4 linked regions of the Drosophila melanogaster genome follow. Changing the gene in region 3 together with the main gene of any one other region gives a genetic interaction. Each region holds a gene or a part of one and is shown on either strand. Other genes may lie near its edges. The genes, in order: Rab8, Rab30, para and jus.

Evidence for each region.
Region 1: of para (region 3) and Rab8, changing one suppresses a phenotype caused by changing the other (phenotypic suppression), as found in Drosophila melanogaster (one study listed by BioGRID).
Region 2: of para (region 3) and Rab30, changing one suppresses a phenotype caused by changing the other (phenotypic suppression), as found in Drosophila melanogaster (one study listed by BioGRID).
Region 4: of para (region 3) and jus, changing one suppresses a phenotype caused by changing the other (phenotypic suppression), as found in Drosophila melanogaster (2 studies listed by BioGRID).

The regions. Positions count from the first base shown.
Region 1 is NT_037436.4:19,863,693-19,872,791, forward strand, and holds Rab8 (Rab8), read right to left. Parts: upstream 7,387-9,099; 5' UTR 6,813-7,386; coding exon 6,689-6,812; intron 5,867-6,688; exon of another isoform or gene 5,835-5,866; coding exon of another isoform or gene 5,816-5,834; intron 5,737-5,815; coding exon 5,676-5,736; intron 5,616-5,675; coding exon 5,411-5,615; intron 5,173-5,410; coding exon 5,032-5,172; intron 4,954-5,031; coding exon 4,861-4,953; 3' UTR 3,796-4,860; downstream 1-3,795. Other genes in the region: Usp32 (ubiquitin specific protease 32), read left to right, coding at 7,702-7,762.
Region 2 is NT_033779.5:7,026,698-7,034,427, forward strand, and holds Rab30 (Rab30), read right to left. Parts: upstream 5,910-7,730; 5' UTR 5,540-5,909; intron 5,481-5,539; 5' UTR 5,409-5,480; coding exon 4,737-5,408; 3' UTR 3,796-4,736; downstream 1-3,795. Other genes in the region: CG31908 (uncharacterized protein), read right to left, coding at 27-80; MME1 (mitochondrial magnesium exporter 1), read left to right, coding at 1,114-1,230, 1,291-1,723, 1,793-1,969, 2,030-2,202; caper, read left to right, coding at 6,268-6,321.
Region 3 is NC_004354.4:16,522,730-16,530,883, reverse strand, and holds the start of para (paralytic), read left to right. Parts: upstream 1-3,469; 5' UTR 3,470-3,607; intron 3,608-5,468; exon of another isoform or gene 5,469-5,662; coding exon of another isoform or gene 5,663-7,582; exon of another isoform or gene 7,583-7,917; intron 7,918-8,154. Other genes in the region: Cnx14D (calnexin 14D), read left to right, coding at 5,663-7,582. UniProt on the Drosophila melanogaster protein: Mediates the voltage-dependent sodium ion permeability of excitable membranes.
Region 4 is NT_033777.3:29,190,305-29,198,348, reverse strand, and holds the start of jus (julius seizure), read left to right. Parts: upstream 1-3,355; 5' UTR 3,356-3,461; intron 3,462-8,044. Other genes in the region: CG14515 (uncharacterized protein), read right to left, coding at 282-715.

The sequences.
Region 1 (9,099 bases), on a different chromosome or scaffold from region 3:
ATAGCTTGTACTTTAATAGGTATATTTTCAAGAATCACATATTTCCTCTTTTTTGTTAAATTAAATCTTTATACCCTAGTTCACGCAGCTGGGATCCTCGAATAGTGCGATTTCCTGGAGAATGCCTATAGGAAAATCCCCGAAATTCTTGGTGCAACATATTGTTTTTAACCACAAAACAAAACCTTTAAAAAAACTTCTGACCAAGACTCAGAAACCGCACATTAAAAAATCACTCGCTCAATCACTCTAACTCGACTTTGCCTTAGGTGATCCTTTTCGCTCAACACATCGCCTGATACAATTTGGTATAATTTTATTATATTGCATATTATCCTTTTAAGGTGATATTTTACAGAATCACAAAATAGTTAAATCAATCAAACGATTCATCTGATCAGAAAATATTTTTCTCTTATTTTCTTACCGCTAGCAAGCGAGTAATCATACTCCTTGCTTCTCCTTTGAGAGCGGTTTTTAAATAATTAAACTTTAGAGATGTGCTCAAGACAGAGAGTCAAGATAACAGATAATAGGATAAAGTCTATTATAGTCAGAACATAGTTCTCTGTAAGGGTCATGCAACTCATGGTTAGATCTACAATGATTTAAGACAAGCGGTATATAGTTTCTAGTAAATCTACTTGGAACACAGAAGTTAAGCCGACTAACCTAGTCGGGACTCTCAACTTCACTTCACGAATAAGCTTAAAAATAAAGACTGTTCCAAGCATCGTTCCACGATTAGCTAGGGAAGGTAAATTAAATAAAAGTAGTCTACTGGAATATGGAGGTAATATAAGGTTTGCATTCCAATTTAGGCGCCGCAAGGTAAATAGTAAGAATTTTTTTGGGCCGATTCAATGCGGTCCGAGTGGACTCCAAACAGGTGATCCGTACTCTAGAATCGGACGGACTAACGAAATAAATAAGGCTTTAGTCAAGTAAGGATCATCAAATTCCTAAGACCACCTTTTTATAAAACCAAACCCACACCCCAGGCCTTATTGACAATATGATATTATTCGAAATATGGTCAGAAAGTTTTAGTTTAGGGTCCAGAAGAACACCAAGATCATCAACCCGTGTTATTCTGTCCAAAGGCCACCCGACAAAAGGTCATAACTTTACACTTGGAGCCATTTAAGTCTAACACTTTATCACGGCACCATATTTGAAATCTGTCTAGATCGGATTGTAAGTTCAAATGGCGCGAATTGTCCTTGTGCTGGAGGCATTATTTAAAATCGTCTGCGTACATAAGTACACGCGAATGTTTTATTATTAAGGGGAGGTCGTTAATGAATAAGGTACAAAGAAGCGGACCAAGATGGCTCCCTTTGGGACACCGGATGTGACTCGGAGAATACAAGATAAAGAATTTTTAAAGAGGACTTGTTGCGACCGGCCATTCAGATAGCTTGAAATCCAGTTTAGAAGATCAACAGTGAAACCTCAAAGATCAAGTTTTCTTATTAGAAGGTGATGATTAACAGAGTCAAAAGCTTTACTAAAGTCAGGGTAGATGACATCTGTTTGAAGATTATTTTTGAAGCACTGTATTACGACAGAAGTTAGCTCCAAGAGGTTAGTGGTTGCTGATCTGCGTTTCGTAAAACCGTGCTGACACGATGATTGATCTACAATACAAAAGTGCTGCAAATGAGGAGTGATAACATTTTCAAACAGTCTTGGGATAGCCGACAATTTAGAGATTCCTCTGTAATTGCTTGCATTCAGTTTGCTACCTTTTTTATGAAGAGGAATCACAAAGGACTCCTTCCATATATGGGGGAATTGTGAAGATTCCAGAGATAAGGTAAACAGTTTCAGTAGAGGCTTGCACAAGGCTTCCGCACAGAATCTGAGCGGAACACAGCCAGGGATTCCATCGGGACCTGGCGAATAGACCGTTTTAACACGCTGAAGATCGTTAAGCAGTGAGCTTTCGTTTATAGTGGGGCGAAATATTAGATTCGATCTTAGTCGACCGCATAAGAGTATGGCTGTTCGGAATGAGGTGAAGTTGAATATGTTGTTTGAAAAAACTTGGCGAATAGATCGGCTATTGCCTGATCCGATGTTACCGTAGTGTTTTCAAAAAATAGCGAAGAAGGGTAAGAAATGGTTTTTCGCTTGGTGTTAACGAAATTATAAAACTGTTTCGGATCCTGTGCGAACTGGAACTTACAACGGCTTAAATAATTCCTGTAGCACTTAGCATTAAGCACGGTAAAGTTTAAGCGAGCGCTTAAATATTTAGAAAGGATGGACTTAGAACCGTATTTTTAAATTTTGTATAAAGTCTGGACTTTACATTTCTTAGGTGTTTCAACTCTTTATTAAACAAAGGAGGTTTAAGGATTGCCGGATAGTACATCGGAACACAAGAGTCAAAAACGATTTAATTGCGGTATAAAACATATTAATGGCATCCGTCATTATGTTGCAAGAGTAAGGATCGGACCAATTAAAGCCAGCTATAAAATTGTTTGCCTTGCGAAAACAGTGAATTCGCTTGGTTGACTTCTCCGATTTTACTTTTAATACGGTACGGTGTCGATTGTCACCTCGAAAGTAGGATGATATGGATCTTCAGGTTGAGTAAGATGTGCTACCCTGGACAGAAACACACTTTCAGGACTTGTTACAAGACATAGATCCAACAGTCGACCAAGAGAGTTTCGAATATAATTAACTTGCAACAACGATAAGTCGAGCATAAAGTCATGTTGTGCTAAAGGGAGAAGAATATTCGATTGTTCTTCTGGGACCACATTATGCCAGGTATATTAAAATCATCTAGAACTACCAATTGGTCCCTGTCAGACAGTTTATTTGAGATGGATTGGATAGCGGACAAAGTATTCAGATATTCTGGGAATTCAGAAGATAGCGGAATATACGAGCACATAATATAAACTGATCTGTCGGAAAATGACAGTTTTACGCATATGATTTCTGAGTTATGGGATTCGTCAAAAAGTAACTCTTCCAACGGGAGGGTAGATCTAACCCGTTCCCATTTGGAGGGACGGTCATAATGTGTACATATGTACGTGGGAAGACTTCGGAGTTAAATCCCCGGCTTTAAACAAGTCTCTGAACACTATTATACGGGATGCAAAGGAAAGGCTATTACAATACAATTTGGTTAGTTTGCTACGCAAGCCTCTAGCATTTTGATAGGAAGTAGTAAGATTAGTTAGTTTTTAGTTTAGTTTTAGATTTTTGAAGAAGATGAAGAGGCGGAGGGTGCAGTGGTCTGGCCATGTGAGGGATGTTTAATTCCCACGGGCTCTTTTTACAATTTTTAATTAGCTTAGCTTCGAACTCTTTTACCACCATATAATAAGAACTTTACGGGACTTTTCTTTAATTTTCCACACAGATATATAAATTTATGATGCCCCATAATGCAACATGATGTCTCGTCGGTATGTCAACGATTAAGCTATGATTCATATTCATAATCCTCTCCATCCGACTTGGGTCATTGGACATGATCCAGATCATTTAAGAGTAATCCCTGATCGAACCCTGAGCGAATAGACTTACCCACAAACTGGTATTGGATTTCTTAAGGTCCTCTCAAGTGTACCTGGGAAACCCAGTGCATTGCAGCATGGACATTTTGTATAAGTTGATAGTCCTCAGCCCATACTCTACAATGCTCCACAGCACAATCTGTCTACGCGACTTTGGGTCCGACGCGTCGAACTCGCCTGTCTCTGTTATGACAGAAGCTCAGCGCTACGAAACGAGCCATAAAATCTTTTCAAATAAAAAGTTTTTGGTTTTGCACATGATTTATTTTTATAAAATTGTATACGTTTAATCATTAATATTACAAGTAATTAATTAATATCAAATATGCAATTAGTTATCATTTAATTTCACATTATTTATATTACTGCGCTGTGTATGTGTTCATAATTGTTTATTGCTGCCGATCGATTCTCATCGATAGACTACCTTTAATTGGTGATATCTCGCAAATCTGCAAATCTTCGTTAATGTTTTAATATTAGGTGTAACGTTTTATTGACAAAGTCATGTGGTGTGCGGCAAAGAACAAAATAAATAGAGTACGAACTAACCAAATGAAATGTGTGTGAAGATTAAGAAGAATATAATAAGCACCCTCGATCTGTGCGATACTACCACATTATATTATATAAAGTTAGGACCGGGTAGGGGGAGGTGCGGGGCGGATTGGGCTGTTTTACACTTTTGGGTCATTGTGCGTCTGGACCTCCTCCGTCGTATTCCCAACGTAATGGCAAAAGGGTTTCTGAATCGATCGAAAGTACATACAAGCAATGAGCAAAACAAGGACAGGTAAACTAATCATATGCATACATAGTACATACAATATATTTGTTTTACAATTAATAATTTACAAATCGACAACCATGGCTGCTAGAGAAAATCATAATTCCGTAAATACTAAAACCTCTTCGAGAAGGACGCGGGCGGGTTGGATTGGCTGCTCTTCGATTTTCGCTATCGCTGGATCGTTTTATCTTTAAACTTGAGTTATATACGTATATATGTATACATATTATCATGCCTAGGTATATTTCGTACACGCTGTCGTCATATACTTTATTTAATAACTGTTTCATAATGCAATTTGTGTTCTATTCCATTATCGCGCTTATTCGGTTAAAGGGAGCCGGCTGCTGATTGATGTTTAAGGTTGATTTAGATGTCAGTTAATGTCCGCTTGTCGGGGTCCCGCTTGTACTCGAACCTAACAGGAGTTAAGAAAACTACTACCTCGTAGTTACCACCATAAACCACTACCGTGTAGTCGTTGCCACCATGCCGCTTCAGTGCCGAGCGCACGTTGCCACGTCAAAGCAGACTGCACCTGGACAACCAACTGTCCTTCGTCCGACTGTCCATCGGTTTCAGCTGATGGCCGCCCTTGGGTGGGTTGTTCGCCTCCTGCGCACACAAAGGATGTAAATGGTTAGCCACAGTAAAAAAAACGCTTTGTCCGAGTCTCGCCACCCGCACACTCACCATTCGCTTTTCCGTTTTCGCTTTGATATCACTGGCTAGGGTGAGGAAGGCTTCTTCCACGTTAATGCTGGCCTTCGCGGAGGTCTCCATGAACTTGATGCCATACTCGATGGCCAATTGTTCGCCGCGCTCTTTTGAAACCTACAACGGGTGGAAAATTGTTTAATTATCGGCCTTAAGGGCAGATAGCTTTATGAAGCTGAAAAGAATATTGCGCCAAATCATTGTCTATCCCTTATTGGATTTAATAACAAATGATTATACACTAACTGAATTTGAAATATATAAATAAAATGTTTGTAGATAACTTTTATGGAACAAACAAATAAACGAACTTGGAGGAATAGCCAGCGAAATCACCAATTTCTTTTTTCCATACCTGTCGCTTATCGGTCAATTCGCACTTGTTTCCCAGCAGCATTTTCTCGACATCGGCGGACGCATTTTCCTCGATATTCCTGATCCAGTTTTTGATGTTCTCGAAGGACTTTTCTTGGGTTATGTCATATACCAGCATGATGCCCATGGCACCTCTGTAATAGGCCGTGGTGATTGTGCGAAAACGCTCCTGGCCGGCAGTGTCCCTGGAAAATGAATGGAGATATAGGTAATTAGAGAATACAGATGAATCGCCTAGTACTTACCATATCTGCAGCTTAATCTTCTTGTTATCTAATTCAATTGTTCTAATTTTAAAATCGATACCTGAAAAGAGAAAACAGATGAGCATATACACACATGTACGTTTGCTAATTAATTTAAATAATTTGGCAAGAGGCTAAACCTGTTTGGTCGGAACCCATGACATCGCAGCTAAAATAAGAGACGAAGAGAACCGAAATCCACAAACCACGCAATTAATTTAAACAATGTCGTTAAGTAAATGCCCCAAAATTGGAAGTGTCGCGATGAAAACGTGCCAAAAACGAAAATAAACAATTATTAGCCACGAGCAGAAATGGGAATCGCTCTACTTTTGTGTTTACAAGTACGGGAAAGTACAGTGTGCATGTCGAATATTATTGTGATTATTATTTTAATAAGCTTAAAATTACTAGCATAATCTGATTTAACTGCCACTTGAAGTTGTACTGATTATGATTCGAATTTATTAAAAAGTATTTGCTGTGTTTGGTAGAAAGGCTTCACTGTACTCGTACGGGAACAACTACTTGAATTCCCTCTGAGACTGGGCATGGGCCTGCTGGGTATATAATAGGGCATTCCCGATTTGGCGTGCGACGGTCAAGTCTCGCATCGGAACAATCCGGCTTCTGGGGCGATAAGAGCAGCGAAAGTACAAAGACTATGGGTACTCGGACTGAGTACTCATTTCTGATCGCTTTCCTATGCGGGTGTGAATCTCAGGGCGAGATAAGGCATCCGGATATATTCCTTACGGGAAAATCTTAATAAGCGCGAGAAATCAAACATGGTGGGAGTGCCCCTCCCATGGAAACAACAATATTTATGACAAATGCGCCCGGATGGGGCAGGAAATAAAAAAGAAAAGAGGCATTTAATGAGTCACTGGGCCAGAAGCTCGGATTTCCAATTGCGAATGAGTTCATGCGAACGAAGGTGTTATAATTAATAACCAAAAAAAAAAAAAAATTAAGAATCGGAAGACACGGTAAACGCGGATGATGACACTCACCTATTGTGGATATAAACGTTGTGTTGAAGGCGTCCTCAGAGAATCGGAAGAGGATGCAGGTCTTGCCCACTCCGGAGTCACCGATCAGGAGCAGTTTGAACAGATAGTCGTAGGTTTTGGCCATTTTGTGTGCTTTTGCGGTAGGATCACAGTATCTGGCCCGATAATAGTGCTTAGCTGGGGGTTAGGGTACGGGTTAAGGGTGATGATGCTCTGTACACGTCGTCGTCTCCTTAATCAACTGACTGACTTCCTCTCCGATTCTTGGCTAATAACACTAATCACGATTATGCCCCATGCGTGCCGTTTAGCGTATGTATGTACATATACACTATACCCAGACGTAACCGCACTAATCCACAATCTAATTGAATCGACTCGAATCGAAAACGTATAGTTTTTTCCTTCTCTCCGCAGCGCAGCTCTTTTTCTCTTGGGTGTGTGTGTTGTGTTTTCGATTTCGGAGCCGTGTCAAAAATGGCGACGTAGATTTAAGACCTTTTTGTTGTCTGTGCCCGAGTTTCGGATTTCGTGCGGCGGCTTTTCCGGTGGGCAAATGCAAAGGCGCTCGCTACGCGGTGCGAGTCTACGTTGGTTTGTTGTGAAAATTACGTGGAAATGAAGTTAATTACTGCTTTCTAATTACGCCCGTACAAAAAATATGAGTTTCGATAATTCGTTGCTGCGCAACACTGGCGCGCCGTCGTCTATCGATAGCTTATCGTACGATGGGGAAAACAGCTGTTTCCAGTTAGTGTTGGAAAGTGCGCGAATATAGAAAGAAACAGAGGAAAATAGCACAAGACAAGAGTCAAAAAGACAGGTGTATATTATATATTCATACACATATATCGTCGTGATCCTGCACCTGATCCTCGCCAGCAGCCTATTGTTCCGCCCGCGACTGTGAAGTGAAGTTGAACAAATGTGAAAAGTGGCGTCGCCAGACGCAGCAGCAGGCGGAGCCCCAGAATCCATTGAGTTGCACCCCCGCAAACAAGAAATTCTGGACCATGGGCACCAAGGAGTCCAAGCACTCCAATAGCGTCAGCTACGAGGATTCGGTGAAACGCGGTGAGTCTCCTCCGGCTGGTTACTTGTGGGGCCGTCTCCCAGCCGCAGAAAATAGGTCACTGCCAATCAAGAAAACAGAACCCCCTGCGAAAGCAACAACAACGTACAAGCAGGTGCAATCGATTCCATTGTGTTGTTGCGCCCACGTCTTCTGACCAACGGGAATCACCACTGACTTCCGCCACCACCATCCTCATGCTCCTCTTAATCCTATCTCTTGCAATTATCTACTGCCATTCCAGTGTGGCTTCTTTATTGCATGTGTTTTCATGTGCATGGGTATTTGCGTCTCCGCCGCCAATGACGTCACAATAGAAAAGCTAACCGAATGGGGTGGCAGTTGGAGGTGTGCGCTGTGTGGGTGAGAGACAACAAAGCAGCGAAGGCACATGAGAAACAGTTAGACAGCCAGTGGAGTGCAGTTCACGCTTAGGGTGACTGGAATGCGCGGATGCGGATGTCGCTGCGAATACGATTCATTTCAAGTTCAGCATGTCATTCCAGTGTTCATTTCAATTCGCACTCTATGGGCAAAGGTCTTCTGTTGAAGTATTTTATAAAGAAGCCTACTTTAAAATTTTTTTGTTTATAATGAAATGAAATTATAATGAAAGGGGAGCATTTTGGATTTCGATTTTCCAATTGGAATATCCATAAGAAAAATGTTTTAAAATAAATAATTCATTGGGCTTTTAATTCTGCATGTCATTTCCTTATTTCTTAAAATTCCTCTTTAAGTGGAATATGTTCAGATAGGAAAAGGAATTACTGTGTTTAAAACAAGCTGATAAGCCAAAAAAATAGAAATTTATTTACAAAGTATGAAAATCGGAATGTTCACTCTTCTCCAAATATTTTATAATAATGAACCAGCAATAAAATTGGTAATCATTCAGAAGAGTTAAGATTATTTAAGCCAACTTGTATACCCATTTTCGGCCCACTTTCAATGACGTTTAGCTTCCCTTAGTGCTTTTCACTTACTTTATTCCGCCTTCCCTTTGCGCTGGCAATCATCTAAATGCTGGTGTTGTTATGGTTATGGTTGCTGATTTGTGGCCAGGCGGCCCAGCCAGAGTTAAGAAAACGAGTGTCGCTGATAAGGCTCACTCCCCCGGAACACCAGCACTCCGGACCACCCCTCCACCACCCACCATCACTGGTGTGGGGCGTGCGACCGGGTGCGTGTGTTTCTTATTAGCCACTCCAACCGGTTCCAGTAAAACCAAGGGGGAAGTGAGGACTAGCATGCAAGTATGTGCGCGGTGGTCAATAATCGCAGACTCGAGTTGCAGTTAACATTCAATAAAATGCCGTTTCCGTGACGTCGCATAATT
Region 2 (7,730 bases), on a different chromosome or scaffold from region 3:
TCAATCACATCGCGTGGCGCACTCACCCCATCCTCGTCGATTTCCTCCCAGTTGTCTAACACATCCTCGCCATGGGACATCGTTCGACAAAGCACGTTGCTCGACTGCTGCTAGAATATATACTTCGGGTTTCGGTTGCGTTTTCGCTCACTTTCTTCTCTTGCGCCTGCTGCTGCAGCTCGCACTCTTACTGATACATGATTCCTTCGCACTTTTATCAGACATAAGTTATGCGTATGTTGGCAAGCACACTTTTTTCACGAAATTCGCACCCAAGAACCCTACTGAAAAAACAAAAAACAATACGCAACAATTTGGCCTGCTGCTAATGTCGTTCTCGTTGTTGTTGTTGTTGCTTTCCGTGGGCTAGTCTTCTTCTTGCTTATCAGGTCACAGCAAAAGTGACAGGTTTTGTTCGTTTGCACGGGAACTGGAAAAGTGGTTGCACTTTACTGGCCCAACCAGCACTGCGCCAGAAGATACTTGGCCCACCCACCTTTGATAGCCACACTTGTTAACCATTTATTTTTAACGCTTTATTAATAAAAGAAGTGTGTGGCCGCCGCCCGCGTTTCCCTGCGAATGTCGATGGAAATTTGGAATCGCAGAATGTCCGATAGACTGTGTAATCGAACGGGAAATTTAAAATTTGTTTTGCATGTAATTTTCTAACAATTTATTTTATTTATAATGACAATGTCGTGCAGAGCAAACTTTAAGTTATAAAGCTTGAAACGCTAAAAAGAAGAATGAACATTCTGTTTAATATTTCGATTGACCATGTCATACTAATGACTGCAATCGATAGCTGAATGTTAAGCCAATGTTAGGTGTATGTTTTGTTAACATGATAAGCAAATCAGCTGTTCCCTCTGCAATTTTGGAACAGCTAATGAAATATTTGAAATAGATAAGAGGCACTATTGATCATGGAAATTATAATACCGCGCTATTCGGAATCACACAGCATTATCATAGGTCAGCAACCGCGCAGCAAGCAGATCACCAAGCGATAGCGTTCATCAGGAAGCCAGCGATCTTCAAGCACGTGCATTTCGTTCAGAAGCTGACGGAATTTCTCGGCGTGTTTACGTAAATAGTTAAAATTCAGCAATGGAGGAGGTCGAAATCAGCACAGAAAAGAAATCCAATCCCGTAAAGTCATTTATTGCGGGCGGCGTGGGAGGCATGTGCAATGTGCTCGTTGGCCATCCATTGGACACAATAAAGGTGAGCTTCAAAACTGTGTTTACAAATGGAAACGATGTAATGCTTTAAGTTCCACTTTAGGTCCGTCTCCAAACCATGCCCACACCTCCACCTGGACAGCCGCCGAGATACAAGGGAGTCATAGATTGTGCCGCCAGGACATTTCGTTATGAGGGTTTTCGCGGATTCTACAGAGGAATATCCGCTCCACTTGTGGGAGTAACACCCATCTATGCCGTGGACTTTGCCGTCTATGCGGCGGGTAAACGATTGTTCCAAACGGATGACCACATTAGGCTCACCTACCCACAAATCTTCGCCGCGGGAGCCTTGGCCGGAGTTTGTTCTGCCCTCGTCACAGTGCCCACCGATCGTATAAAAGTCCTTCTGCAGACGCAAACCGTGTCCAACGGACCTCTGCTCTACAATGGAACCATTGACACGGCCGCCAAGCTATATAGGCAGGGTGGCATTCGGAGCCTCTTCAAGGGAACATGCGCGTGCATTCTGAGAGGTCAGTTGTTAATTAATTGCTTAATATTATAGTATATATAATAGTTATGGATAATTTTAAAATTTACAGACTCGCCCACCGGTTTTTACTTTGTGACCTACGAATTCCTACAGGAATTGGCTAGAAAGAAGTCCGCCAATGGAAAGATTAGCACCACATCAACTATTCTGTCCGGCGGAACGGCGGGCATTGTGTTTTGGACTTTGGCCGTGCCGTTCGATGTACTTAAAAGCCGTCTCCAGTCGGGTGAGTCATCCAATCGCCAATCGCTTTAGTTACAATGATTTATAAATGCCATATTTTTAGCACCTGAGGGAACATACAAGCACGGCATTCGCAGCGTTTTTAGAAACCTCATGGCCACAGAAGGCCCAAAAGCTCTATTTCGCGGTATCCTGCCAATTCTACTTCGTGCCTTTCCCTCCACCGCAGCAGTTTTCTTCGGCGTGGAGCTAACCAATGATTTGCTGAAGGCTTAAATTTAAGAATTTGTATTTCAGAGAGGCTGTTTAGAATATTAAATATTGTTTACATATGCGGTTGAGTTTGCTTTATTTGGATTTCTGATATTCTATAAACAAAATGTTTGAAATATTAGCTATGCGCAGTAACCGAGGGATATTAATGGATTTTTAAATATAACGCCAATAATTGGTATCCGATTTTAAAAGTTAAATATATTTTACTTTACATGCTAAAGTATCTTTACGGTTTAGCTTGGCTTACATTTAAAATATACTTTACTTTACATGCAAAAGTATCTTTACGTTTAAGCTTAGTTTCGATTCATTCCAATTGGATGTGCAATCGAAAGCTTTTAAGCGGAACGAACAGATCGACAATATTAGAATTGGAAGTGCAGCGAGATAAGTACTACTGCTTTTAATCAGAAAACTACTTGCGGAGAAAGTTGGACGCTGGCGGGTCGCGCGTTTACTCCTATTTCGTTCAATTCGAATCGATACCTTTAAAAACACACCGGCTTCTGTGCGAAAAACATTTTGGTGTTTCCTTGAATATAATACGTTTCCTGAAAGAGACGTTGAAAAAAAACACTTGGAAAAACGGCGATAGTTTTTCAAAACTATTATACGCCCTGTATTTGAATGATCTGCCCGAGGAATTGGAGGGCGGAATCGACATCGATGGCCGCCGTGTGAATGTCCTAATGTACGCTGATAGGATCGCAATACTTTCCGAAAGTATTGATGATCTTCAGGATATGATCAACCAGCTGGAAAAATACTGCACCAAATGGGACATAGTGGTGGACATGGACAGGTCGTGTATAATGGTCTTCAGGAGAGGTGGACGGCTTGCATTGACTGAGAAATGGTTTATAACGGGAAAGGAGATCAAAACCACAAGCACTGCAGAATTTCTCGATTTTTTGCTCACAACTACACTCAACACTCCAGAGATACTCCACATAATAGATTGGAAAAATTGGATGATTAGAGAAGATTGATGAATCTATACTTGCTGCAAATGTGGGGATACGAAAAAGTAATGCAATTCAAAGCTCTGCAAGCGTTTTATTTAAAAAAAAAAAACCACTTGTTTCGAGTGTCCCAACCCTAATAATCTGATAAGAGATGCATTTGCAGTATATTAAAAAACTTTATTTTCCCACAATGAAAATTCGATCGGCCGATTTTTAACTCTTAAAGTAATGAAGAAAAACATTCTGTGGGCTAAAGCACTTAATAATATTTGCAGTACCTATAACTTAAGGTGGAAGAGCTATTTGAACTCAGAATCGGAGTGGAACGATTTTTGCACGAAATTATTAAGGTGGTTAGTTAGATCCTGAAATCGATGGGATTTTTTTTTTTTATATGCATTATTGTACAAAATACTGTTTTAAAAACATTTGTAATTATTTATCGGCTAAAAGTTTACATTCCAATTATTGTGATATTTATATAATAACAAGATATATATTGCAGCTTTTTTAATCAACAACTTTTTCCGCATTCGTAAAAAGTTGATATACTTAATCAACATATTTTATATTTTACTCAGCTGTAAATTAATCAGCTGTAAATTAATTAAACACTCTTTTCCATTTTACTTGTATTTAGTTTATTTTTTATTCAGCTTTCTGGTCTATTCATAGTTTCTAATTCTTAATTTTTGGAATGTCATAAAATCACCTTAAACACTATTACGAATATCATTTAAAAATTGCATTACCAAAGATTGCACATTAATCGTAAAAATATGTAAAAATAATTGCAAATAAATATGCATAAATTGTGTATGTATACAAAAAATGTAATGTATAAAACATGCAATACTCCTTGGGAATTAATTGAAATAAACTAAATGGTGAGTCTAGCATTTTTGATATCATAAATTCTTCGTAGCATTGGCTGTGATGCTCACTTGGTAAACGATCCATAATCAGATCAATACATACGTCTATATAATACAAATCAAGAAAATCAGGCGGTCTTAAACACCTCCAATGGAGTTCTTGTAACACAAATATTTAGCATCCTTAGTCATTGACAGCTAGTTTCCCATAGGATCTTAATCGTGATAAATAGTAAATTAGTTTTTACAATCAATTTCTTTCTGTAAACCAAAGGGGATACAGAAATAATCAATTTTTTTAGTCTTGTAATTAAAATAATAAACCCTTAAGCATGAACAGAATATCACGATAACAGATAACAGATTAGCTGCACAGTTTCCAGATCCGTTTGCACATTGTACTTTAAATGTTTGTTGTTATCGTAGTTTAGTGAAAGCGAAGAGAATTGCTCTAAATACCTTTACATTTAAAGGTATTTGAAGCCGATGTGTTTTAACAATCTAATAGGAATCGTTACAAAGACAAAGGCAAACGATCACGTCATAATCATGCTTATAAAAACAAAATTTAACATATGTATGTATGTGTTAGAATGTGGGAGCATTGTGGTAATAAAAGATAAATGGAATATCACGATTAGTCCTTAACAAGTTACAGATTAGCTGCTCAGCTTCCAGTTCAGTTTGCAGCTGCTCAGCCGCCTTGACTAGAGTTGGAGCCGCCGCTGGCGAGTCCGCCACAGCAATTGCTCTGCGCTGCCTTGGCACTGAAGCTCCCCAGTCCGATGGAGCTGCCCTCCGACTGACGCTGGGCGGCTGCCGCTGCGGCCGAACTACTGCCATCCTTGCTCCTTGCCTGACCAATCAATTCGGCGGCAATCTCGTAGAACAGACGCTCTACATTCTCTGCCTCCTTGGCGGATGTCTCCAAGAAGTACATGTCATGCTGCTTGGCGAACTCTTCGCCAATCTGGGTGGGTATCTCTCGATCATCCCTGTCCGTCTTGTTACCCACCAGGATTTTGAGTACCTTGGAGTTGGCATACTCCTGGATCTCGCGCAGCCAGTCCGGCAGGCAGTCAAATGTGGGCTGGCAGCTGATGTCGTACACCAGGATCAAGGCGTGAGCCGATCGATAGTAGCTTTGCGTGATGGATCGGAACCGCTCCTGGCCGGCGGTGTCCCAGATTTGTAGCTTGATCTTCTCGCCCTCCACCTCCACGGTCTTAATCATGAAATCCACACCAATGGTGGCACCCTGGCCAGGTGGAAATAGACCCTGAGTAAAGCGGCGCACTAGGCATGTTTTTCCAACACCAGCATTGCCCACCAGGACGATTTTGAACAGGAACTTGTAGTCCTCCATTGGGGATGTTGCCAAAAATGGGTTGGTTTTGGGGTTTTTGAGTCGCTGGGTGTGGGCAAGTGTGTGTGTGCTCTGCGAAAGTAGACGAAAGTTAGTCGGAGCTTAGACACACCTAGTCAGCGACGCGTAACGATTATACTTTGCTGGCTGGTGGTGGTTCGTTGGATCAGCTTACGCCATCCCCAGCGAAGACAACGCCTCTCACCTGTGGCTCACCTGGGGCTCTATCACTAGCTGGCCAACGGCTGTTCGCCTTGTTTTTTGGCTTATTTGGCTAAAAGATGATGACTCAACAGCAGCTGTAGATGCTTGTTACTCGCTTATCTATGCGAATCGGCCCCAAATCTATTCAGCAGGCTTTCGGCCAGGTTGACTATGCTTGCAAATTTGTAATCAACTGGTTGCATGCTGCCGCATTAATTGCCAGCCTTAATTTTGCTTATGTTTACCAACAGAATTTTACTGTATTTCGACGTGATGGTATTTGATTAGAGATGTGACATCAATTCCCATAGCAATACTTAACGATGTTTTTCTCGGTATCGATAGATCGACGTTTTGCAAAGCACTTAAAAACTTTTTGAAGTACGGTCACTAGTTATCGATTGTTCATCATCGATAAGTTCTGTGACAACCCTGAAGCCGAAAACAAGCAGCCACGCTAGAGAAGAAAATCTGGTTGAAAATTGGCAAAAATTCTAATTAAAAAATCGCAAAAGCCAAAAGAGAAGTTCGTAAGTCGTCCTACGAATTCCGCTGTGCGTCCCCACCACATTTTGATTTCTCCAAACGTGCCAGACACCGAGCAGGGGACTTTTTTCACGGAGCACCCCGAATTGCAGCGAAGTAATTTTCGAATATGGCCGAGGACTTTGATGTGGAGGCGATGCTCGAGGCGCCGTACATGAAAAACGTAAGTTCCCAAAGGCCGGATAACAGCCAACTATCGTTTAAATTAAGTCCCACTGGCTTTTGTGCCCACCCAAGGCAATTATTTTGCTGTGCAAAAACAAAATGAAAAAAAATAGAAAAACAGTTACTTCATATGTATGTTTGTATACTTCTTTTCCCACATAGACACCCACAGGCGTACGTGCATTTTGTGTTTGTATGTAAGTCGTCTTCGTCTCGGGCACACACACACACACACACACATGTGCAGTCGATGCATACTAAGTGGTCTTAAATCGATTTTTAGCCTAATTTTGCTGTTTAATAAAAAATCGGCAGCCGGAACGCCAATCTGCGTGCTGATTTTCGTAATATTTTTTTTTCACACTAGACTGCGTTCATACAGAAAAGTGTTTCGCCAACGGAAAATCTGTCTGTGTGTGGGTTTGTGTTGTTTATTTTCCTACGCGGCATTTGATACAGTCGTGTACTGCAGTGGGTGTACAGTGGGGTGCAAAATATTTGGCAGGGCTGCAATAGCAACTGAAAACGTTTAACAAGTATCAGGGAAACTTAAAGGATTGAATTACTAACAAGACAGTCATGATTCTGTAAACTATAAAAAACAACGTATTTTAGTGATATTTTATATCTCTTACTAAACTTGGACTTTAATCTGTATTATTGACTGAAACGGATTTTGTAGCAATTGGTATTCCTCTTATCTTATCTGGGCAAACCATCTGTAATAATATTTATTAATAGGTTAAAACTCAGCCATATGAAATCATACTTGAAAAATCTCAATATATTATAAAATAATTTGTAGGTTAGCAAACCACATTTTTCCGTAGCATTTACAAATGCAATTTTCGGTGTGTTGTGGAATAAATCTAATAAAATTATCATTAATTAACCCAAAACCAAAATCAGCATTATTGTCCGACAGCTCGCCAAGGTTTTAGTCAATGTAGTAGTCTATGACATCCAGCTAAAGTTGGAAATTAATTGAATTGAATTCTTTCGCCCCAAACCAACAACTCATGAGTTCAACGCTCCTATTTCTTCCTATCTGCTGTCTCACTAAGAACTACCGACAACTACCCACACACAATCACCATTAAAAAATACAAAAAAAAAAAAAAAAAAAAAAACCAAACAAAAATGCTAGAATAATTCTTAAGGGTGAAATGTCTTTGCAGAGAATCGAATAAGCTCAATATTGTTGCTAGAGATTGTTTTGGTCATTCTAAACACAAAAAGCTGGAGACCATTTGGTAAGTTTTGAATGTGCCAGAAGCTGCGAAAAAAAACCAATTACAAAATTACAAAACAATAAAAAAAAAAAACCAAAACATATCTAGGCATTTTGTATAAAATATGATTTGTTTATGTTTGCGTTTTTTTTTTATGAACACAATCCAATTGAAA
Region 3 (8,154 bases):
TTTCATGATTGTGGAAATCGTGTAGTCGAATTCAAAGCTTATTACTGACAATTGCGTTCAGAGAATATTTCAGTGCCGTGCAAATCCCTAAAGAATTGAGGTTAGATAGCAGATAATAATGGTTTAATTTGCATATTAAGCAATTTTAAGCCAGATTATGTTAGTAACATCATTTATTTTACTTGCTTTCTTAGATCAAGCAACTTAGGTACTGTCAAAATTGTTTAAACATTTATGGGTGCCACATTACAACGAAGGATTCATTTTTTATGTGCCTCTTGCCGAGAACTTGCAAGGACCTCGTCGAAACCGAAAGGACACGCAATTGTGGCCCAGAATCGAAAGCGAAAACTTTCCCTTCCTTGGCCAAAATCTATAAACTTTCGTTTATAAAACGCACTAGCTGTCATTCGTGTGCGATTGTGTGGCTTTCGTGTGGCTATTTGGCTATTTGTGTTGCTTTCGCGACTTCTGGTCGCTATAGAAAACCAAAAAGCTGAAAATATAGTGAAATGGCATGGGGAACACCCGTTAAAGAAAGTACCGATGTGTTAAGACCAGTCCAAATGGGTGTTACAATAACTTTGCGGCTCGTCCAATGCCCAGCGGGTTAGGCCGGTGCCATTCGGCCAACAGCCTGCCACCAGCCTTCCATCGTGCTCACCAGCTTGTCCCGGGGCGAAGGCTCCGCAGGACCCCCATACCATTGCATCCCATGGAGAGGGACGGAAGCCCAGCCGGAGCACCACCAGTCACCAAATGGCAGTCGCAGTTCAATCTGCCCCTGGGTTGTGCGTGTTCAATTGGCTTCCAGCCCCATTGTTGTTCTTTGCTCGCCCTTTGCCTGTTGTTGGCTTTTGGTGTAAAAAATTTACATAACCCAAATTGATGCATAAATAAATTATTAAATACGTGACGTGCAAATGGTCAAAAGACCAAGCTAGCAGCCATCGAGCAGCAAACGCAAGTCGAATAGCATGTGTGCAAGGCTCTGGCCTTTGGCTTCCATTGTGCGAATCCCAAGGGCTTGCAATCAGGACGCAATCCAATAAGGAGATTGTGCTCTCGGTAATATTGCCATCCATATGCGACCTGCGACAAATGTCTTATGTTACGCGAAGATCCTCACTGCGAATTCAATTAGGAGCAAGGCCAAGGTTCATGATCCAAACGAATTCCAAATCATTGGCTCCCATTATGGATGAAACTGTGATAAATAAACATTAGTCCCAAAGAGAAATTGGCAATTTAAAGGTTTCTAAGTACGCTATTGAGTACAACTATTGAGTGCCAGGAAATGATAAGTCCAAACTTATAGTATTACACACTTAAGAATGAAGTCAATTAGGTTAAATTTATAGCAAGCTTAAACGCTTCGAAAACAGTTTCCTGATTTAAAAGCATTATTACTCAAACTCCCACAAAAGCTGCGCGCTTTGGTGACCCCAATCCAGTTAAGACACACACACACACACACACAGTTAAACTCCATTGTTTTCAATTTGTTTATACATATGTATGTACTTGTCCATTTGTAAGGACATTAGGAACGCAGTTCCTTAATGTGTGCAAATGGGTGGGCTGACTGGTGACTTGGTGACTTGGTGACCCCGCCACCGCTGGGTTAGATAAAGTTCGGATAGGATCGATTGGTCGGTGTCCAAGATGGGGGGCCCCGAAAAGCGGGTCAGCATGATTTGCGATTATAGCTGATGCTCCATATTCTCGGGCCACATTAGTTATGAACGCAGTCGGACTTGACTTGACCAGTCCAACTGGTGCCAAACGCCCAAAAATAATGACCCACTGTTGCAATTTTCGGGCAGAGCAGAGCCGTGGAATATCAGCTTGATGACCTAAAAATAGAACAAGTGACCAAAGACAAATAAAAAAATGAGAGTCGGCGATGGCGAATAGTATGTGGCAAATGGCGGAGAATAGCGAAGGGCGAAAGGATAAGCAGCGAAAAACAGGGTGGCAAAGTAGCACAACAAAACCTGTGTTGACAACGACTTGGGTGGTTATATATGGCAAATGCTTTAGGGCGAAAAGGACTTCTCACACACACACAAACACACACACGCGCGAACTGCTTCTGCTCCTTTTCGCGGCAAATTCGGATAAAAGGAAGTCACGGCGAAACGGCGGACAACTGCCTGGTTCGCCCGAAAACGGAGTTACCCAGAGAGGAGGAACTTTTTCAGTGCTCAGTGCTCGACTTTTTTCCGCATCCTTGTGTCCTTTTTCAATACTGCTCTGCGTTTCACGTGCGCGCGAAAATTGCATAAACACAAACAAGCCGCGACTCGCTGCCTCGACATTTTTTTTTACAGTGCATCCAATCCAGTGAGACATTATCCTGCCAATTGAGTGCTCATTTTACGTTTTTTTTTTCGTGTGTCTAAGTGAAAGCCATCAAGTGTGTGAATACAATTTACAAGCCCATTTTAAATATCTATTGAAGAAATATAACAAGTTTAGTAGAAGGAATCAAATAAACTAACGACATAATTCACATAATTGGCACAAGGACAGCAGAAAATCTAACATATAAAAAGAAATAAATATTAAAAAAAATAATTTCAAGCCATTCAAACAATACTAGGGGGTGCTTTTAGTGGGCCATACAAATTATTCGAAATTTTTTCTTCCGATAATATTTTTTTCAATTTTTTTTACATTTCTGTCACCTTTTGTGAATGAGTTTTCCCATCAAATTTTCCAATTTAAGCTGGGTTTCAACAACTTGTTCGCTTTTCCGCAGGCGACGCTGACGAAATTGAAACTAAAACCGAAATAAAATCTGCAAATAATAATAATAATACTATTAGTCATAATACGGAAAACCAATTATAATCATAGCAACAGTTGAGAAACCAAGCCGAGGCAAACTCATTTAAATATCCCAGCCAGGTAGCCAGATACTAGTAGAAATAATACAACAAATAATATTAACATTAACTATAAATAATAAATTGAAACAGCTCTGGGAACAAAACGCAACGTTTGATGAAAATTTCTGGCAACACGTCTTGGTTGTTGTTAAGCACGCAAAAAAATTAAATAAAAAAACCAATTCAAATACCCAATGATAATGCAGATTTAACAAACAAAACCAAAACAAATAAAAGCAAACAAAAATACAAATATAAAAAAAAAACCAAACAAAAAAACCAAAAAACAAAACAAACAACAAATTCATCTTCTACTTGTTCTACCGCTTCAACTTTATTCGTCTTCGTCTCCGTAATATATATATATATATAAAATATACATATATATATATTTATATATATATATATCTATGTATATGTATGCATATGTGTGTGAGTGCGTCGCGTGTGTGTTGGTGCCTGTAAATGTGTGAGCCACAACAACAACAACTACAACAACAGCAGCAGCAGCCAGAGCCACAACCACAACAACAACAACAGTAGTTAACAGCAGCAACAATTCTTAGCAGCAGCAGCAACAACAACAATACAAGCAAGCACGCTCACAACAAAAGCAGCAACAGCAACAACAACCACAATAGCAACTACAGCAACAACAACATCAGCGGATAGAGCGAGCAGCCAGGCACAACATCGATAGACATCGATTAACGGTAGGTAATCGAAGGCAATCGAAAAAATCCATTTAATATGTATTTTATTATCACATTCATTGCACTTTTAATTATGCTAATGATATTTAACCCTAAACAGAGGAAAAAAAATCGTGAAATTTTTTATTTGTTGAGTTTCAACTATTTCCGATACCTTGAATGATTTATTCTTAAGACTAAACGATCTTTCGAGTCTAAAAGAACCACTTTTATGATGAATTCTTACAATTAACACATAGTGGAAATGTATTGAAAATAATTATGTTATCTATGTTAGAGCAAACAGGCTAACAATGTGTTATATTAGAAATTCTCAGCTCTTACTTAACTTACTTCTCAGCTCAAAACAAAGTCATTAATTTACTTTTCATTTTGGTCAAAGAGAACTACATTTTACTGGGTCAATGGTTCAACTTTCATTGAAAGTTTTTAAGAAACCCACATTTGGTATTCCCATCGATTGCAATTTTAATATAGAATACCAAAAAGGGCAATTTACGCTGCACGTCAAATGAGAATTTAGAAAGCAATTGTGTCTTTCGTATGTATTTCAATATTTGAATAGCTAGAAAAGTGTGAACGGAGCAGTGGGCGACTTGATGAACTTGGCTCGATTATGTCATGCCTCCTTGGTGAAAATCCCAGTTAACCAGGCCCGACCTCAAGACCATATCAATGGGGTATCTGCGCCCCTTTTTGTCCCGCCCACTGGCACGCCCCTTTGCTTTTGGGCTACAACCTTTTGCTGGCTTTTGGAGGGCAAACTTTCAGCTGCCACAAAAAAAAAAAAAGAACAGAGCAGAGCAGAGCAGAAAAAAATGAATGATGAAGGTTGAGGGGGGGGGGTGTTTCTAACGGAATTCCTTTGCTCACGCACACATTGAAAGGAGGTTCGTTAAGAGAGAAGGGAACCCAAAAATGTATTGTTGTAGTCCGTGTTTGTTGGCGGCATCACACAGAGAAGTGAGAGCGCAAGAGAGAGGGCACTGGCTCTCTCGGCGCAGGCAGGAGGAGAGTGAGAGTCCTCGCTCTCTCGCCAGCCCATTGCGCTCTCCCATGCAAAATTCATTGACTAACAACATGCTAACTTCGTTCAGTTTTTTGCTGTTTCTGTTTGTTTTTTTTTTTAGTTTTTTAGTCCTTTCCTTGCCATCGAATTTTGTTCAACAATTAATAGGGTAGCAGATATTCTGTGTTATATTGCCAAATCGATACCTTGGGTTGGCTAAGGAAAACGTTTTGCGTTTCGCTCATGTGTTTGTCATGTGTCATTTGCATATTGACACAAATTCCGGCTCGGGTTGTTTTTTATTTCAATTCTTGTTTGCGGTTTTTCGCATGACTCATCGACCCAGCGAATGGCCAAAAATTAATTCGGCAAACAGAATTTTGCGAGTGTCATGAATGGAAACAGACACACATAAATATATGCTCATATTGGCACATCCACTGCCACTCTGTGTGTGTGTGAGAACGCTACCCTATGCTTCATGCCTCCGTGTGTGTGTGAGTGTGGCGAAATATCGAACTGACCTACTTTTATGCTCGATACACACACACACACACACACGCACACACACTGGCGCGCTCACACATACACACACGCAGCCAGATTGGCAAATGGAAAAAGAGTGCTTTGACCTTAGCGGAGGCTGCTTATGTAAGCCCAATATCCGAAGACCGCAGGAACATCCGTAACCGAATCTAGATTCAATTCTCACATTTTCTGTAGTAGCGGTAGAAGGTAGTGTTAGACCGTTTCAAATAAATGAAGTGCTTATAATATTATCTACATTTTAAAAATCATAATCGTATTACCTATTACTAAGCTATCTATGTAAGTCAAATCCAAAATTTATACAAACAAGCAAGCGGCGTCAATAAAGTCATACGCATTAAGGCTCAGTTCAGTCAAGTCAACCACTTTTCACAAAAAATCGTTAAAAATCGTTAATTTCTTCGAACGTCGCTATATTAAAAAAACGCAAGGCTCAATTCAGTCAATCCTTATCTATTCCAACTCTGAGTAAGCGAGCAAGCGAAAAGTGTGTGAAAATGGCTTGGAAAATGCTCTTCGCCATTTTGTTGCTGCTGAGTGCGGCCAAAACCGGCTATTTGGCCCCGGAGTCGGAAAACTCTGTGGAGGATGTGCAGATAGAGCCCGGCGCCATCTATGGCGATGAGAAGTTTGCCTACAAGAGTCCGGTGATCGATGCCGAAAAGTTTTACTTTGCGGATCACTTCGACGACGTGGAGGCATCCCGAAAGAGATGGGTACTGTCGCAGGCCAAGAAGAACGACATCGCCGATGAGATAGCCAAATACGATGGCATCTGGAACTGGGAGTCTCCGCAACGCATCTTTTGGGCAAACGATCTGGGTCTGGTGCTCAAGTCGAAGGCCAAGCATGCGGCCATAGCCGCCCCCTTTCGCCAGCCGTTCGATTTCAAGTCGAACAAGCCGCTGGTGGTGCAGTACGAGCTTACGTTGCAGGAGGGTCAGGACTGTGGCGGCTCGTATCTGAAGCTTTTGTCCGCCGGAAAAGGCACGGAGCAACTAAATCGCTTCAATGACAAGACACCCTATACCATCATGTTTGGTCCGGACAAGTGCGGCAACAATTTGAAAATGCACTTTATATTCCGGCACGTCAATCCATTAAATGGCAACATCACCGAAAAGCACTGCAAAAAGCCAAATGCCCGTTTGGGAGTGCCATTCACGGACAAGCTACCCCATCTCTACCAGCTGGTGGTCCGTCCCGATAACAGCTTTGAGATTCGCTTAGACCACAAGATCATCAAAGAGGGTTCCCTGCTGACCGACTTTGTGCCACCAGTCAACCCACCGGCGGAGATAGATGACCCCAATGACCACAAGCCAGAATCGTGGGATGAGCGGAAGAAGATCCCAGACCCCAATGCCCACAAGCCCGAGGATTGGGACGAGGATGCTCCACCACATCTGCCCGATACCGATGCCGTCATGCCAAATGGCTGGCTAGAGGATGAGCCCGACATGATTTTCGATCCAACTGCCATCGAACCCGAAGATTGGAATTCCGAAATCGATGGCGAGTGGGAGGCTCCTCTGGTGGAGAACCCAGTGTGCAAGAAGGCCCCCGGCTGTGGCAAGTGGAAGGCTCCGCTCATCCCCAATCCCAACTACAAGGGCAAGTGGAGTGCACCAATGATCGAGAACCCCAACAACCAGGGCAAGTGGGCTCCCAGGAAGATAGCCAATCCAGACTTCTTTGAGGATCTGAAGCCCTTCCAAATGACGCCAATCAACGCTGTGGGTCTGGAGCTGTGGTCCATGTCCAGCGATATTCTCTTCGATAACCTGATCATCACGGACGATGTGGAGTTGGCCCGTGACTTTGCTGCCAACAGCTTCGACATCAAGCGTCTCTACATCGATCGTGAATCATTCGGGAATAAGGTAGTCGAGCTAGCTAGGGCCAATCGAGCGATCTGGGGCATTGTCATAGTGGCCATTGCGGTGCCGGTTGCCATTACCATCTTCTGTAAATTTGGTTTAGGCCCGAGTAGGGTTGCGGCTGCCAAAAAAGCTGCTGCTGCCGCGGCCAAGAAGACCGACGATCCTCAGCCCGATGATGACCTGGGGGCCGAGGAGGAGGAAAAGTTGGAGAAGGGGAAGAAGGAGGAGGAAAAGAAGGAGGAGGAGGAGGAGGAGGAGAAGGAGGAGAATAAGGAGGAAAAGAAGGAGGAGGAGAAGGATGACGAGAAGGAGATGAAGGATTGCGAGGAGGAGGAGGATGACGAGGAGAAGGATGACGAGGAGAAGACCGACGAAAGGGCCGCTGGTGATACCAACAAGGAAAGCACACCGCTGTCCGCTAGTCCCAAGAAGAACCAAAAGTCTTATTTAGATAATAACGAAGATGAGGAAGACACATTAAAGAACAAGGAACCTACCCCAAAAAAAAGGAAGCGTAAAGCACTCAAGGAGTAAGCGGGCATCCGTAGTCACTGCAACTCTAAATAAGAAACTAAATCGAATTCCAAGATCCAACTGTTGCAGAGCACCAACAACCAAATGATCAAGCAAACGTAGATTTTAAACATGTTCTAATTTCGCCAAAAGAGCCGACATCTCGATCAAACTACACACACACACACACTATCCCACAAACACACAGACACTATTTCACAAACACACACACACACTCTCCCACACACACACACTCTCCCACACACACACACACACTCTCCCACACATACACACACACACATACACATAACACATCCAAATCCAAATAAAATCGGATTAAAAAAAAAGAATTGGGTGTGAAAGGGAAAATTGTTTGAAGACGGAAAAACAAGCAAATTTCCGCGATCTTTTCGCTGGTGGTAGCATACTTTTCTGGGCTGCTGCTGAGAATCCTTGGCAGCAACTCAAGAAATCGCAGGGATTCCGACTGCAAGAAGCAGTCGCAGTACACTGGAAAACGTGGTTCTGGCGATCCAATGATGTTACTTTACTTTACTTAACACGTGAGCATAGGGTAACGTGCGATATGCCCC
Region 4 (8,044 bases), on a different chromosome or scaffold from region 3:
ATTATGAGGGTGATGGGCCATAGAAGACACGAACTGCGTTGTACGAAGCCAGTTTTGACAAAGTGCTTCATTGAAACTGTCCGAAAAAATGGGTGCTAAGCGGTCATTTATTTTATTAAGTTGGTAGTGAAACTTCTGCATGCATTTAAGTTGTTTGCTGTGACTGTAAGAGCACTACTTAACACTGAAAGTTAGTTCGATTATAGATTCTAGATCTTTCTAATAATTCCATTGGCTTGAGCTATATAATTAACCCACTCCTCCTATAACTTCCAACTTACGTGAAGTAGACTTGTCCCCGCTTATTTTGCGGTGCCTTCCAGATGAGCTTGGCGCCCAGCTTGTCCCGGTTGTCCGAGTGCGTAATGGCCGAGCACTCTGGAATGGTCTTGGTGTTCTCGCTCTGCACCCACTCGCCGATCCACTCGTTCGAGTTGGCATCACGCGCCTGCAGGAAGAATCCCCGGAAGACGGTGCTCTGGTCCGAGTGCGGGTAGATGACCACCGATATCTGCTGGCCGGGATGGTAGGTCTGCGCATCGGCCACCACCTCGTACGGATTCGAGTGAGCCGGCTGACTCCGGGCCTTGCCATGATTCGGCTGATTCGCCCGCTGCTTCACGCACGTGTCCGCCGGAGCGCCGTCCGGAAAGGCGACTGCGGCGCCTATCAGCAGGAGCAGCTCCAGCGACAACCACTTGAATCGATCCTTCATGGCTCTGGAATTCGATTTTCCTGATCGTGGGAAAAAACGCGCGCGCTCTCGGCTAATCTGACGCTGAAACTCGGCTCGCCGCCGCCATCGCCGGCCGCTTATAAACCCAAGCGGCAATGCCACAAGCGACGCTGCCGCCGAAGACATGGGCGGGCGGTTCAAGTGGACAGATAGCCACAGTCGGGGGTGTTTGAATAGGAGCGTTTAGCTATCCAAGAAAGCCAGCTATTGGAGAAGTCAGTGCGCTAAATCATCTTTTTCTTGACTACGATAAAACTTTTTCTAAAAAGTTATTTGTACTGTTTAAAAAAATATTCAAAAATATGCAAAAATATAAACGAATATTCCACGCTTTTCTTCCAGAACTCTTTGCTGTTGATCAACTGTTATGATAAATAGTAATTAATAGCCTTTGATAACTTTATTTACTAAACAATTGCACTAAGACCCAACCGTAAATCATTACTATTATTTTATTTGGTTTTTAATTCTTAAAAGAACTAACACGGAATGATGTGTCAAGAATAAATCATTGACAGATGCCAGCTGCCATCCCAATAGATTTTCTTTGACTAATTTATGGCCGCAGCGGTGCTATTAAGCTGACCGCAAATGTAGTGGGGCGCTCAGCTGGCGGCGGCCAACCAGTTTTTAATGATCAAAAAGCAAATGGCCAAAACACACAGAGTTCCTTTCCTGCACAGTGATCCAAACTGGGTCACACATTAGTCCCTCCCCTGGTCGACGAATCGGATTTCTTTGCTCGGTTTGGTGGTCTGGGCCCGAAACTCTGGTGCTGCTCTAAGTGCTCCATTGCGAAATTCTATGCTTCTAATCGCTGAAAATGTTGGAAAATGTTGGAAAATGCTGTCCGCACTGCAACATGTTCCGCAGTTTGTTTACTTTGCGCCTGTTCGCTGCATTTTTCAGCGCGTTTTAATGTTTTAATTGACAGGCAGCCGCCGTTGGCGTTGATTTCGCTGAATTGAGTTGGCTCCGGTTGGGTTTTTCCTTTTTCTGATTTCTCAGTTGTGATTTTTTTCTGGCAGTTCGCTTTTCCCCCTTTGATACCGCTGCGTTTCGCATTTCACAGCTTCAGTCGGCGGTTTCCTTTCTGGGATCCGCCAACGCCATTCCTTCGTGGAATATGGTTTTCCACCACCTCATTTTCACTTTAGTTTTTGGCAAGGGGGATAATTGCAACAGCTGCTGTCAGTTGGAATACAAATGGAATAATTAAGTCAGTTCTTTAACTTTAAGCATTTGCTTAAATTTTCATTTATAAATTGTTCGGAATGTTTTAAAATAGTGTTTATACTCATTAAGAGAAATAATTATGCGAAATAATTATCAATTAAACTATAACAAATGGCACACAACACAGCTATGTGTTTTATAATTCCTATTTTCGCAGCATATTTTATAGCTAGAATGGTAACTAAATAAAAAATATAAATAAAGTGCCCAATTATTTCTGCTCACTTTAATTATCTTTTTTTTTTTTTTTTGTTATTCACAAGCACTGCAAACAGCATACCGAATGGCACACAAATTCTAATTTAATAAATGCGCAAATGACCAACAACACTTCGGGCCAAAACACACTTTTAAGTGCTAGTGTGTGTATCTACACGCACTCACACTTTGGGCCAAGTCAATACCAAACTTGTTTCATTAATTAAAATGTTCGGTTAATTATTCAAATTGCACGTGCCAGCGTCAGCAACTTTTGCGCACAAAACTAAATTGTTTGCTTTTGGCAATGTGTTTGTGCTGAAACGTGATAAATAATACTCTAGATTGCTGAACTTTACAATTGGACATTGGCGCTTATTTGCATTTCAAGTTGGCCGCACTGCAAAGGTCAGTTAACCCGGTGGCTTTGCTTTAACCGAAGGATCAGCGGGCCGAAAGGACATATCATCCATTATGGATGCGGCGAATGCGAATTTTCAACTCCCTGCACTGGGCAGCAGCATACCGAAATTTTCGGCCATTGAAAATGACATTTGCGCCACATCACACCAGGTCTTGTTACGCTACACAGAGAAAAATATACTAAAAATATTATAGAATTTCATTTTATTATGAATTAATCTATTCATATTTGTTTGATATTTTTGATTTTTTTTATATATAAAATACACTATTTACAAAACTTTAACGCATCAAGTCATGCCATTATCATAGAGTTTAAAAATATAAGTAAGCTAAATATTTTATCAATTAATATCTATATATAATATATATATAATATGCAAGCTGGTAATGTGTTTCTTTCAGTGCATCCATCCTCCGGCCAATGCATGCGAAATTTACTTCAACCTAAAGTACGAAAAAAGTGGGCAAACGAAGGAAAACTGCCAGCCGCCTTAAACCGATGTGCCATGTAAATAGTGGAGCTTGTGGGCTCAGAGGGGGGGATGGAGCGGTGGCCCGAGGAGGGGTCGAAAAATCCACTTCATCGGCGACGGTTGGCGCGGAAAAGTGTGTCACCTGCAGGCGGGAAATGCGCAGGTCCTGTGAGAGGAAAAGCGGCTGCCGCCTGATGGTGACTTTTCCTCGCAGACTTTTCACCAACGCCACATTCGCATTTTCCACCAAGGCTGTGGGAAATTCGGCTCAGAACGTGGTCAGACGTCGAAGCGCGTGGTCGTCGAGTTTTCCGAGAAAATCCAGTGGGAAAGCAAACAGTGCGAGGCAGCAGCAGCAGCAGCAACAACAACTATCTAGAGCAAAGGAAATTGTGAGCAATTTGTATTTTAGTAGTATATTTCTTACGCGCGTGAGTGTGTGTGTGTGTGTGAGTCAGTGAATGAGTGTGTAAGTGTGTGAATGTGGTGATGAACCGAACAGCGTGCAACAAGAATAAAAAACGAATGCCCAAAAGTGCCAAACACAAACAACAACAAAAAAAACGAGATGAAAACAGAATATACATAAATGGCAAGCAAATATTTTTCTTCTTGAGCAGGGCAAAGAAAATCACAAACTGCAGCGTATCCATGCCCTCAAACCAAAAAAAAAAGAAAAACAAAAAAATAAAACGAAGAAAACAGTGAAAAGCAATCAAAGTAATAAACGAAAAGGGGGGAATGGCGAACCGAACTGAAAGCAAATCAAAAAAATCAATGCCCTTTCTGCGGAATTATACGTTGCGTATACGTGATATGTACCGAGGTAGCCAAGTCAAATAATAATAAAGGAAATTCTCACGTGACGCATAAAAAAGCCAAGCTCGCACACACACACAGCGATGGCAACAGTAACACGGCATGCCCCTCAAACATACGCACACAGCGGTAAACTTACTACCTGGGACACAAATTGAAGTTGGCGAAACATATTTGCGCAGCAAAGTTGCTACACGCAGCGAAAACTCGCTGCAGTAGTTTCAAATTGTGGGGGGAAACTGTGATAAACACAATTCATAACCAGAAAAGAGTTGAACTAATCAGAAATCTATAAAAGATCTTAAAGTTATGGCTATTTAAAAGCAATGTGGTGCCTAAAGTTGTGGTAGTGCCTAAAAGTAGGCAATGGAATTTGTCATTCGTGAAATGTGACTTGCTGCGTATGTATATAAGTATGATTTGTGTGAAATATCATCATAGCACTGATGAAATTCAAACATTTTCTCATCTTTTCTTGCAAAAGTGTCCCACTTTTCTCCGCCTGCATTTGGAAGGCACATGATTATGATGAGCTTGCCTCGCAAACTTGTTTCTTTTTTGAGGCTCGTGGCTCGAAAATGACAACAGCTGGATGGCCGAGTGGGTGGGTGGCGGAAGATTGCCTTTTGCCGCATTTGTTGCCGCTATTTTGCATACATTGAATTTAATGAACTGCCTGTGTGCGGTGTGTTGGATTTGCTTTTAATAATTTAGGCTGCGCGCGAACTAAATGGCGCTTTTAAAGTACGAACCGTCAGGCGACCCCAATATGGGCGACAAACGGGCGAGATGAGGCACAAATGAAAATATGAAAAAGGGCAGGGAAAACACGAACCATTTAATGCCCCTTCGCACCCTCGTTGCGCCTGTATGGATACGCTGTGAGCTGGTGTGTGTGTGCAACCCCAAGTCGGAAGGGCAGACATACTAACACACTTCAGCCGGAGGACTACGTCATCCTGGCCCAGAAGCTTTGGGGCCAGCAGCCCCCCCCGACAAAGCCAAGCCAAACCACTGCGAACCGAACCCAACCAAACCAAAGCGAACTTCGCTGGGAGCACAACTTTCCCTCGACGTCGCCACATTTTCGCATTCACAATCACATCGCGTGGCATATCCATAGGCGTAAGGATACGGCATAGGCACATGGTCTGGCCTCCACTCACACCATCACACTCGCCTTGCCACACATATACACACAGAGTTTGGCGAATGTGCACATGCACAGTATAGGTGAAGTTATAAGGACTCGAGTTGCGCTGCTCCTCCTTCGGATCGATTCCGGCTAACACAGACTTTGCGGCAGTTGCCGTTGCAAACACTTGAAGAAAAAGGGTGTAACTGTGATCACGAACAAGTCAGCTGCATTTAAAGAATCTTTCAGACTTGGAAGAAGTTAAAACCCTTGATTAGATTGAGATACATTTGCAAAGCTCAGAAGAAAGTAGTGGATAGTTATCTTCTATCTATTTAAAAACCTTTACTTGGTTACATTTTCCGATATTCTGTTTCTATATCATTCGCTTTAGGATCACCTTTCTTTCAGTGAACTAACTCCAATTGCAGTGGCAGTTACTTCGCTACTAGCTGCACGACAATCTGCATGCGGCATGACATCGCGCAGCCGAAGGATCTCGAGGATATATGTGGCTGGCAGGGGGGCGTTGCCGATGGAGACGTCATCAATTTCCATCCAGCCTATAAATACAACTAAAGTATATATGCCACAATGTGATGCCTTTGCGCCGGCGGCAAGTGTTGCAGTAAATTTCGAGGAGATCCGACTGCCGGCATGACCCTTGACCTTCGACTTGCACCATGTGGCATGCCCGTTTATGCTTCGATTTGCCGCCCTATACGCCATATCCACCCCACAGCCCCACGCCACCGCTCAGGCAAATGCAAAATCATTTGCCATCGAAATCGCATGTCGACCGGCAGAAATAAAACTGAAAAAAAAAGAAGTAGAAAGAGCAGACATGCCGTATAGCAAACCGAAAACCCAACCAGAAATCCTTGTCGCACAGTTTGCGTTTATAATTTATATACGACGTTCCCCGTACGAGGAGGCTTCTCTTGTTTTAGTTGCGCATTCGTCCTTGTCCCGGCCAAGTATCCGTATCCAAGGCGGACTCTCAATCGAAATCCGCATGGAGGAGGCCTTTAAGTGCGCCCGCTGGCATTTGGTGCTCCTCCCGTTTAGGCCGACAAGCTGCCCGCTTTATGGCTATTAAAAAATGCATTTAAATACACACCACGGCCTGCCATTTACCATATAAGCCATATACCATATAATCTTCGATGCGGCCTGCGTCTGTCTCCGGTTTTCGCTTCTCGGGCCTCTTCAGCTCCTCCTCAGCTCGAGTATGAGCTCCTTTGGGGCGTTGTTGAAAATTGAAATTGCGCGCTTATTTATGGAGCTCTGGCGGGGACGCTGGCGTTGATTGCCGTAACGCCCCATTGCCTGGTACATGACTATAATAATGATTGCCATTTTTATAGGCCAGCCAGCGCCGGCGCTGCGAAGATAAATTGTTTGGCTGCTTGGAAAATCGTTTCGCTTCGACATTTGAATCCTTTTGCTCGAAACTATCTGCTTGATTTTCCCCTGGCAAATGGCTGCTGCGGTGGGTCAGCGCATGAATGCCAATGAAGTACAGCGCTAGCCACGGCGTATACTTAATTTTCGGGCAAATACTTCTAGATCTTTCGAGGGCTGACAGCGCTTCCCATAGGCGCGGTTAGCTTAAGTGCACTAATTAATTTTGCTGAGGTGAGGCTGTCCTTTAAGTAGCTTAAGGATAACTAAATGCCGCATCTCTGGGGCTTTCGCTGTGTGTGTGGGTGTGTGTGTGTGTTCACCTCCAGGATAAATAATAAAATTGCCAGCGGTCGACTGGCCCCGTTTCGCTGATGACACAGAACCGAGGAGTCGAGTGGCCCGGAGTCGAAAAGTCGACCTCTGACACCCTCATTATCCTACATGTGTACAGCCACATAGTCCTTTATATGTGCGGCAGCACGTGTGGAATATTAAGCAAACTGTGCAAACAGTCGTTGTCACATTAACCATGTCATGGCAAGTGCATATGCCACTCTATCACCCCCGACACTTGGCTCAGCGATTGTGGAGCCGTGCACTGGGAGAAATTATAATGGCATACTTCATATAAATAGCGATATTGCTATAATATCTGCATTCAAACAAATAACTAACTAACTGTCTCCTTCAAAGTTAGATGTAACATTACTCGCCAGAGCTATGATATTAGGTTGTTCATAGCAATTATTTCTCTGAGTGTATGCCACCTTTTAGACCATGTTCTATTTATAGTACACAAGCGGCACATATTTTATTTTTCGTGCGTGATCAATGGAGTGCGCGTTGCAGGCATTATAATGACCAATGACCATCCAACGGCACTCGATTAGCGCCACTTCACGCCGCTCTAAATGGATTCCAGAGCTTGTGGATTCCAGTGACTAAGCCTGGAAAAATCGCATTTTCCTTCCGCATTGGTGGCTATATGTGCCACTCGCCCAAAGCCCCACTTTTCGCACGTGGCCTGCACACGACGCAAATGTTAAATATTGCAGCACTTTCAGGCGATTCATTTTGGAGGCGCCATCCCAACCCAATGCATCTCCCGTTCCGTCGCATCTCATCCCAGCACTGCCACATCCACATCCGCAGTTGCATCCGGCGAGCGACTGCAAAAAGCGAAAGATTTGCATGCCGAGAGCAGAAATCGATGGGTATTATTGGGTATATCCAGATAATCGCCTTTGATAACTTCGCAGAGGTATATCATCAATTCACATGATGAAAGTATTAAGAGATGCACCAAAAATTTGCATAGAAAGAAGTATCTTTTTGGTACAGCACATTCCTTGAACTATTTATGGCTTTCCATGGGTATCTTGAAACGTAAAGTTTGGCCCTAAATATATATCCATCTGCCTGCCTGTCTGGCTGGAAATAATTTGCAACATTCATCGTTAGTTCGACACGTAAAAGTGCACTGGATACGGGATTGGGAATTTCACTGCGAATTGCGAATGCGACGCCGTATGCATTCTTGATGTCTTTCTGCATGGCAAGCGAATTTAATGGCTAAAATTTCTATTGTTCGGGGAAATTGTGTTTAAATTGCCT